Callithrix jacchus: one gene and its partner. The protein of the gene in region 1 purifies or fractionates together with the protein of each later gene. This does not show direct contact. Links are inferred from orthologs where the notes say so. Each region holds a gene or a part of one and is shown on either strand. Other genes may lie near its edges. The genes, in order: STK35 and C7H1orf174.

What was found.
Region 2: the proteins of STK35 (region 1) and C7H1orf174 purify together in Homo sapiens (affinity purification with mass spectrometry; 3 studies listed by BioGRID and IntAct, counting the BioPlex papers as one, with this or other methods). This does not show direct contact. The link is inferred for Callithrix jacchus from reciprocal best matches to the Homo sapiens genes STK35 and C1orf174.

The regions. Positions count from the first base shown.
Region 1 is NC_133506.1:9,683,432-9,687,954, forward strand, and holds the start of STK35 (serine/threonine-protein kinase 35), read left to right. Parts: upstream 1-1,438; 5' UTR 1,439-1,493; coding exon 1,494-1,787; intron 1,788-2,381; coding exon 2,382-2,979; intron 2,980-4,523.
Region 2 is NC_133508.1:41,772,516-41,776,832, reverse strand, and holds the start of C7H1orf174 (UPF0688 protein C1orf174 homolog), read left to right. Parts: upstream 1-1,477; 5' UTR 1,478-1,541; coding exon 1,542-1,556; intron 1,557-4,317.

The DNA of each region.
Region 1 (4,523 bases):
TCAAGGTCATGAAAGACGAAGGCTGGATAACTGCCCTTCCAGGTTAAAGGAAACTAAAGAGGTATGACAAGTCAATGAAACGTGTGATCCTGAATTGCATCCTGGGGAATAGCTATAAAGAACATGATTGAGACAATTAGCAAAATTTAAATATGGATGGAGTGTATTAAATAACACAATTGTATCATTGTTAAAATTCCTGACTTTTGATCACTGTACTGAGATTATGCAAGATAATGCCTTTTTTAAAGGAAAGACATATAAATATTTGGAATAAAGAAGCTTGTTGGAAACTCTAAAATGATGTCCTAAAATATATATATATACATTATATAAGTGTGAGTGTGTGTGTGTGTGTGAATATCTATATACCATATACTGATTCCCTTTCTTTTCAGGTATAAACCATATGGATATCTACACACAATATATGTGTGTGTGTGTGTAAGATACGGAAATGCAGCAAAATATAACAATTTGTTATTCTGGTAAAAAAGTATATGATCTTTATGATTCTTGAAATTTATGTGTAAATTTGAAATTTAATCACAAAAACATTAGAGGCTTTCAGCGACTAAATACACTATCAGATATAGCCTGTCCCCAACGAGCACTCTTTAGCTCATTCTTCTTCTCCATCACACTTATCAATGGCAAAAATTATCCTTTAATACTTAACATTGACTGTGTGTAAGGCTGTCCTAAGTGCTTTATCTGGATAACCTCTGTGAATCTTCTTACAGGTGAGGTAAAAACCCACAAGAAAGTTGATTAACTTGCCCAAGGCCACCCATGTGGTTTGTCTCCTGCAGTGACACAGAACCTCAACCAAGGCAGAAACTGCCTTGTCTACTTCTCTTTCCCCAGAGACTTAAAACGGTGCCTAGCACATTACAGGTGTTCAATAGATAACGGTAGATTCAGTTAACACTGGGCACCCACTAGGCCTACACTGTAATACAAAGTACAGAACAAAATACTCAAAAATCTGTGCTTAAATGGAGCTTTGAGTATTAACTCAGCCCCACACCCAATTAGCCTCTATCTATGTATTTCATTTGGTTCTATTGTTCCTGAGAATTAAGGCCCATTTAATCCATTTAGCAGAGGATCATCAGATAAACGATGCTCAGGTTGTGGCAATGATTTGCACAAGATTACTGGGCTGGTAGAAGGGAAGGTCAGGATTCCAACCCACTCCCTAACGTTCCCAGACCGAGTTATGAATCAAAAAACCAAGACAATCACCCTATCAGTATTTATTAAGCGCCTACTGCGTACGGTTGGTCTTCACGCAGGTCAGGCGAGGAGAAGGGGTCGCGGTGCGCGGGCCGCCGCGGATCACGGGAATTTGGCGCCTATTTTTTGTTGGCTGGGTGTTCTCGCCGGTGATTGGGCCCCGGCGAGGCGTGCTGGTGCGCTCTGCTGCGGCTGCTCCGTCGACCTTGGCAGGACCAGGCGGCGCAGGACTCACTCGGCTGGCCTCCCAGGGGATGGGCCACCAGGAGTCTCCGCTGGCCCGGGCGTCGGCGGGAGGTGCAGCTTATGTAAAGAGGTTATGTAAAGGGCTCAGCTGGCGGGAACACGTGGAAAGCCACGGGAGCCTGGGAGCCCAGGCCTCCCCAGCGAGCGCCGCGGCAGCAGAAGCACCCGCCACACGCCGGGCTCGGGCCACCACCTCCCGCGCAGCTCGGTCACGGAGGCAGCCTCATCGCGGAGCGGACCATCCCCAGACAGGGGCTCCAGGAGTGAAACGGACAGCCCGGAAGCGGAGGTGCGCGGGCCAGGTAAGGGTACTGTTCGAGGACTGAAGAGCCAGCACCGAGGATGGAGTTACTGCCACTGCCTCCGCGCTCGGGGAGGGCAATCGGATTCCTCGGCCGGTCGCGCTCCGAGACACGGAACTTTTTAGCCAATCTCTTCTACCCGCCGCCCTAGGGGACTTGGGTCGGTCCGCCGGGCTCCGCTAGGGCTTAATTCAATGGACTGTTTACACCCGGGCGAACACAAGGTGGGGCGCGGGGAGGGGCGTCACGGAGGGGTACGGGCAAAGAAAAAGTTTTCCGCCGGCCGAATCGCATCTTAAGGCGGTTTTCAGAAGGCGTTAAGCTTTCTGTGTGTTCTTTTTCTTATCGCTACACGACAAACTAACAGAGAAAGGGGAGAGTTTGTGCTTTTCTTTCCGGTTCTCCCTCTGAGCCGCTGCCCAGTGGTTCCGTCTTTCCCGCTTTCCCCTCCCCTCCCCCGTTCAATCAGCGGCTGTGGCTTCCGTCTTAAAGGGGCCGCGGCGGCCGGGGGAGGAGGAGGTGGGGCGCTCCGCGGCCTACTCTCCTGGCCTCCCCGCCTCGGCCTGGTCGTTTAACCGATTCTTTGGCCTGCAGGTCACAATCCAAGGTCCCGCTCCTCCGCGTCCCGGGGCCGGACGAAGGGATGAGGCAGGGGGGGCCCGGGCAGCGCCGTTGCTGCTCCCCCCGCCGCCCGCAGCCATGGAAACGGGAAAGGACGGCGCCCGCAGAGGTACACAAAGCCCGGAGCGGAAAAGGCGAAGCCCAGTGCCGCGGGCGCCCAGCACGAAGCTGAGGCCAGTGGCGGCGGCCCAGGCCATGGATCCGGTGGCGACCGAGGCCCCGGGCGAGGCCTACCTGGCGCGGCGATGGCCAGAGGGCGGTGGCGGGTCCGCTCGGCCGCGCTACAGTCTGTTGGCGGAGATCGGGCGCGGCAGCTACGGCGTGGTTTACGAGGCAGTGGCCGGGCGCAGCGGGGCCCGAGTGGCGGTCAAGAAGATCCGCTGCGACGCCCCCGAGAACGTGGAGCTAGCTCTGGCTGAATTCTGGGCCCTCACCAGCCTCAAGCGGCGCCACCAAAACGTCGTGCAGTTTGAGGAGTGCGTCCTGCAGCGCAACGGGCTAGCGCAGCGCATGAGTCACGGCAATAAGAGCTCGCAGCTTTACCTGCGCCTGGTGGAGACCTCACTGAAAGGTAGGAGCACCGCCGTCCTTTCCACATTTGCAAGGCCTGGGTCCGCGCCTCTCCGGACGGTTTGGCACACATTGTTCCCGGCCCCCCTAGGCCTCAGACCTGGTTCCTGTCACCCTGTGCCCGGACACACCCTCCTTTTCTAGGCACAGGAATTCGGCCCTCTTTTCAGGTCCCAGGATCAGTTTCTGGGCCTAACGTTGGCTGATATTTTAATAACAAGAGCTTAAGTGCAAACCATTAACTTAATAGGTGCTCAGTAATTGTGAGCTATGGTGATTAAATGCCTACTACCTTTTTAGATCGGTCAGGGAGTGGAGGAGGTGTTGGGTTCAGTTAGTAGCAGAACTGCGGAGCCCACTCACCCTCTAGGGCCTCTCTCTTTCCCTCCCAAAACGAACAAAAAGAAAAAACTTCACTGGACCCATCCACACCCTCTCCCTGTGTGGTTCCAAGTTTCCTAACACCCTCCAGCTCCCACACCCAAACTCTTGTGGCCTCCTACTCTGCCTTTTCCTCTGAGGCCCCCAGTCCTTCATCCCAGGCAGCCAAGCAAACTGGCGGTTTTCTTGCTTGGTCCTCCGAGGCATGCAGGCTGACAGCCCTCACAGGTGGCCTGAGAGCTGTCACATAACAAAGCATTCAACATCTTTTCCCTTTGTTTTACAATCTTAATCTTTTTCTTAACCTCAGAGGCTGGCTGGGAAGTGGTTTTACTTAGAAGGAAAATGGGGTTCATTGAGGCAAGTGGTCTTCAAGTCCTGGAAGAACTAATTACCTTAATTTCCCGGTTTTGACTGCCGTTAGGGACCGTGTTCATCCTAAATACTCGGTACCCACAAGCCTTGTTCCTACTACTGCTGTTAGCTAGGTGTCTTCACGGAGAGGAGGAGAGGGACATTGGAAAGTTTGAGGAGACTTTCTGAGGCAGGAGGATCCAGGGGAAGAAAGTTGACTAATCCGAGGCCCAGCTGTGGTCTTAGCGCTGAAGTAATTTTTAGGTAATAACTTCAAAAGTAAATTCTGTCCTCTTTCTATAAATAGAGAAACTAGGCTTAGAAGTGAACAAATAACTTGATCAGGGTTAATCTGCTTGAAAGGGAAGTTTGACTATGCTCCTGGTTTCCTTAAGTTTCTCAGAGCTTAAGTGATGGGGAACCCAGATCTGTCTTGATTCAAGGCCTGGGTCCTTTCAAAGGTGTAATGCTGTTCTCCCTACCCTGAGGATGAACTTTTAAGAATGGGTAGGATTTGGGGTGAGTTTGGAGGGGGTGGTCTCCTAAAATCTTCTTTGGGGCTTTTGCCCAACTTTAAGATTCCCCAAGCCTTTCCCAAGAGAACACTTTTTATTCCATTGCAAGTCAGTTGTTTGACGGTGGAATTGGAAACATGAATCAGTATCACCTAAATCCCTTTAAATAGATGTCTACCTTTATGTCCATCCCTGCCCCATCCACTCTGAGAAGCCCACCCTCTCCCCAGCGTGAGTGGTTTTGTTTTGAAAAGACGTCCAGCAGAGCACAGTGACTCACAGCTAATCCCAGCAC
Region 2 (4,317 bases), on another chromosome or scaffold:
ACGCCTATAATCCCAGCACTTTGGGAGGCCGAGGCGGGTGGATCACGAGGTCAGGAGTTCAAGACCAGCCTGAACATGGTGAAATATGGTGAAACCCTGTCTCTACTAAAAATACAAAAATTAGCCAGGCGTGGTGAGGCACGCCTGTAACCCCAGCTACTCAGAAGGCTGAGGCAGAGAACTGCTTGAACCCAGAGGCGGAGGTTGTAGTGAGCCAAGATGTCGCCACTGCACTCCAGCCTGGGCGACAGCGAGACTCCACATCTCAAAAACACACACACAGACACACACATACAAAATAAAACAAAAGAAAAACAGCGGTCCTCAGCTTTATAAACACCTCCCTTAGCTGATGGAAAGGCCAGGATGTCAAGGGGCAGCCGAGGAGGACACATCAGCAGCCCAGGCCTGATACGGACGAGTCAGATGGAGGAGGCGTGGCCGCTGTGTGTCCGTCAAGACCTGCTAGAGGCATGCCCACTGGAGGAGGCGTGGCCGCTAAGGGTCCACCTCGGCCCCGGGAGAAACGGGGCGGCGGTGGGGTCAGTTCCTGCCTTGCAAGTGAGGGGGGTGAGGTCCAGGCCCCCAGCCCCACGCCGGACCCTGGCCTTCTGGGCCCACCGACAGCCTCTACTAAGGCCCGCGACGTGGGGGATAGCAGAAGCCACTTCCCAGGCGGGCCACTCCAGCCCAAAGCGGCATGTTGCGGGGCAGCACAGGCCTGGGGAATCCCTCGCGCTGTTCAACGCCGCTCACCGGCGCTCAGAAACCAGCGCTCTGCGGCACTGGAGAAACCACTGCCCACCCTCCTACAGGGTCGTGGCCAGGGGCTGGAAGGTGAGGGACCCCTTGTGGACGCCTCTCCCGCCCCTCTCAAACATGGCGGCCACAGGTGCACCAAGGCGTCCCTCACAAACATGGCCGCCCGCCCTCAACCATGGCGGCCAAAGACGCTTCAAAAGGAAGCGCCCCTCACGAACATAGTTGCCCACCCCTCTCAAACATGGCGGCCACAAACGCAAAAAAAGAAGCGCCCCTTACAAACATGGCCGTCTGCCCCCCTCAAATATGGTGGCCAAAGAGGCTTCAAGGGAAACGCCCCTCAAAAACATGGTTGCTCACCCCTCTCAAACATGGCGGCAACAGGTGCACCAAAAGAAGCCCATGAACATGGCCGTCCGCCCCCTTCAAATATAGCATAGACGCTACAAGAAACGGCTCCCTTAAACATAACCTCCCAGCCCTGCCACGGGTGTGGGAAACATGGCGGCTACAGGGCTGCCAACGGACGCGCGCCACACGAACAATGCCGGGCACAGGCCGACTTAGAGCTCCAGCGTCCCATCACTGGCCCAAAGCCTGTGAGCTGCGCGCGCCGCTTACGTAAGCAACAACTGTGGCGTCACATGACAAAGGCGCTGCCCTGTGATTGGCTGTGCTGACGTCGGTGACCGCCGCGGCGCGCTCTGCGGACTCCGCATTGCTGTTCAGCCGGAACGCGTTGGGCTGGGGGGCGCGGGACTTGGCGGCGGTGCTTACTCATGAGGAGCCGGAAGGTGAGGGCTGGGGCCCGGCAGCAGCTGCACTGGGCAGCGTGGTGGGGGGGCTCCGGGCCACCCGCTGTCTGGAGAGCCGTGGCAGTGTCACGGGGTGCCTGTGTTCTAGGAGCGGCCTCCGCTTGGGCCTCGTCCCCGGGAGTCGGGAGGCTCCCAGGTCACGCCCCCGGGAGTCGGGAGGCTCCCAGGCTGCGCCCGGGGAGAAGTAAAGCGCTGAGGCCACGCCTCCGGGAGAACGGGGGATGCGGGCCATGCCCGTGGGACAAGTGGAGCTCACCCGGGAAAAGAGGGCTCCCAGGTCACCCCCGCACCCGGAGAAGGGGGGCTCTGGGACACGCCCTGGGAGAAGGGGACTCCCAGGTCACGCCCCCTTGAAGGGAGGCTTCAGACCACTTTCCCAGGAAGGTAGGGTGCCCCCTTCAGAACTGTTTTCAACTCCTGGCAGTGCTGGATGCCTTAGAGCAGAGTTTGTGCCCCTCAACTGCTGCCACTCCAGTGGAGGTCACACAGCATGTGACCTCAGCTTGGCCCCAGCTACTTAATATGCAAAAAAATGGGGTGATGAGGGATCCATCCAGAGGGGGGTGCCAGTGTCTGGGAAGGGGCAAATGCTCACTGCGTGGGTAACGATTAAGGTGAAGGACCCTTTTCACAGTGGACCCGGACCCGGACCTGGGCTGGAACCTCTTGGGAGGCTCTGAGCTGCATCCCGGCTCTCCTGGTTTGTTCAAATGGAGTGGGCACTTGTGAATTCCAACTCCTTTTACTATTTTTATCTTTGAACCAGAATGTGTCTCCTATAGGCAGCGTATACTTGGATATTTTTAAAAATCCAGTCTGGTGGTCTCTGTAGTTAGGTTTACATAGGCTATTGTACTTTTTCTTTTCTTTACACAAGTCTGTCTTTTTCTTCCCCTGTTCCTTTAAGTGGATTAAAGTGAATATTTCCTAACGTAGCATTTTCATAAATTTTTTTAACTATATTTTTGGGTTTTTTTCCAATGCTTGCTCTGTGTTTTACCATGTATATCTTAATCAGCTTCATATTTGTACTAGGTCAATTCCAAGTGATACAGAAATGTTACTCGTATATGGTTATGTTTGGGGTATTTTGTTATGTGTATTTCGTCTGTTGATGTTACAAACTCAGCATACTCTGTTATAATTATTATTATCTGTGGTCATTTCCTTAGACCTATAGGGCTTTGCTTTCACCCACTTTGTTTTGTTATTGGCAAATTTAGTACATGTCTGTATAATTACATACGTATTATTGCATACAATTGCTTTCAAAATTAGTTGAGAGAAGGAGATAGAAAAATAAGCATTTACACCATCTTTTTAAGAACATAATTACTTTTACTGGTGGGGTGTGTGTGTGTGGAGGGGGGTTGAATTACTGTCTGGGGTCACTTGATTTCAGTCTAACTTCCTTTAGTATTTCTTGTAAAGAGAGTTTTTTTTGTTCGAGTTGAGTCTCGCTCTGTTGCCTGGCTGGAGTGCAGAGGCACAATCTCGGCTCACTGCAGTCTCTGCCTCCTGGGTTCAAGTGATTCTCCTGCCTCAGCCTCTGGAATGGCTGGGATTACAGGTGCCCACCACCGCACTAGCTGATTTTTGTATTTTTACTAGAGATGGGGTTTCATCATGTTGGCCAAGCTGGGTCTCAAACTCCTGACCTCAGGTCATCTACCTGCCTCAGCCTCCCAGAGCTCTGGGATTACAAGCATAAGCCATCACTCCCAGCCCGTTTTTGAAGTATAGCTTTCCTAGATACAGGTCCCAGTTTGTTTGTTTGTTTGTTTGTTTGTTTGTTTGTTTGTTTGTTTGTTTGTTTGTAATGGAATCTTGTTACCCAGGCTGGAGTACAGTGGTGTGATCTCAGCTCACCGCAACCTCCACCTCCCAGGTTCAAGCTATTCTCCAGCCTCAGCCTCCTGAGTAGCTGAGACTACAGGTGCATACCACCAAGCCCAGCTAATTTTTTGTATTTTTAATAGAGACAGGGTTTCACTGTGTTCGCAAGGATAGTCTCGATCTCCTGACCTCGTGATCCGCCCGCCCGGCCTCCCAAAGTGCTGGGATTTCAGGTGTGAGCCACTACACCTGGCTGTTAGTTTGTTTGTTTGTTTTTGAGCATTTTGAATATGTTTGAATATTCTCCATTGTTTCAGCTGAGAAGTCAGTCCTGCATTTACTGAGGTTGCCTTCTGAGTGGCTTCCTTCTTGCGGCTTTCAAGATTTTATTCTTTCGTGGCTTTCAAGAGTTTGCCCTTGGTCTTTGTAATTTTACGGTGACGTATCTGTGGATCTCTTTACTTGTTCGGTTCATTCAGATTCCTGGATATGTAGATTGATGTTTTTCTGTAAATTTGGGGAGTTCTCAGCCATTATTTCTTGGAATCTTTTTTCTGCTCCTTCCTGTCTGCATTCTTTGTGGTTCTTATTACACATGTGTTAGTGTGCTTAATGCTGTCCAACATTTCTCTGAGGCTCTCTTCATTGTTCTTCATTCTTTTCTTCTCTCTGTTCCTCAGCGGGCATAATCTCTCCATCCAGCTTGTTTGCTTATTCTACCAGTTCATATTTACTATTGGGCCCTCCCAGTGAATTTTTTTATTTCAGTTTTTAGACTTTTCTACTCCAGAATTTCTATTTGATTTTTAAGTAATTTTTCTTTATTGATCATTTGTTTGATGCAACATTATCTTTCTTCTTTTTTCTTGATTTTGATTTTGTTTATAATGGCTACCTTGGTCCT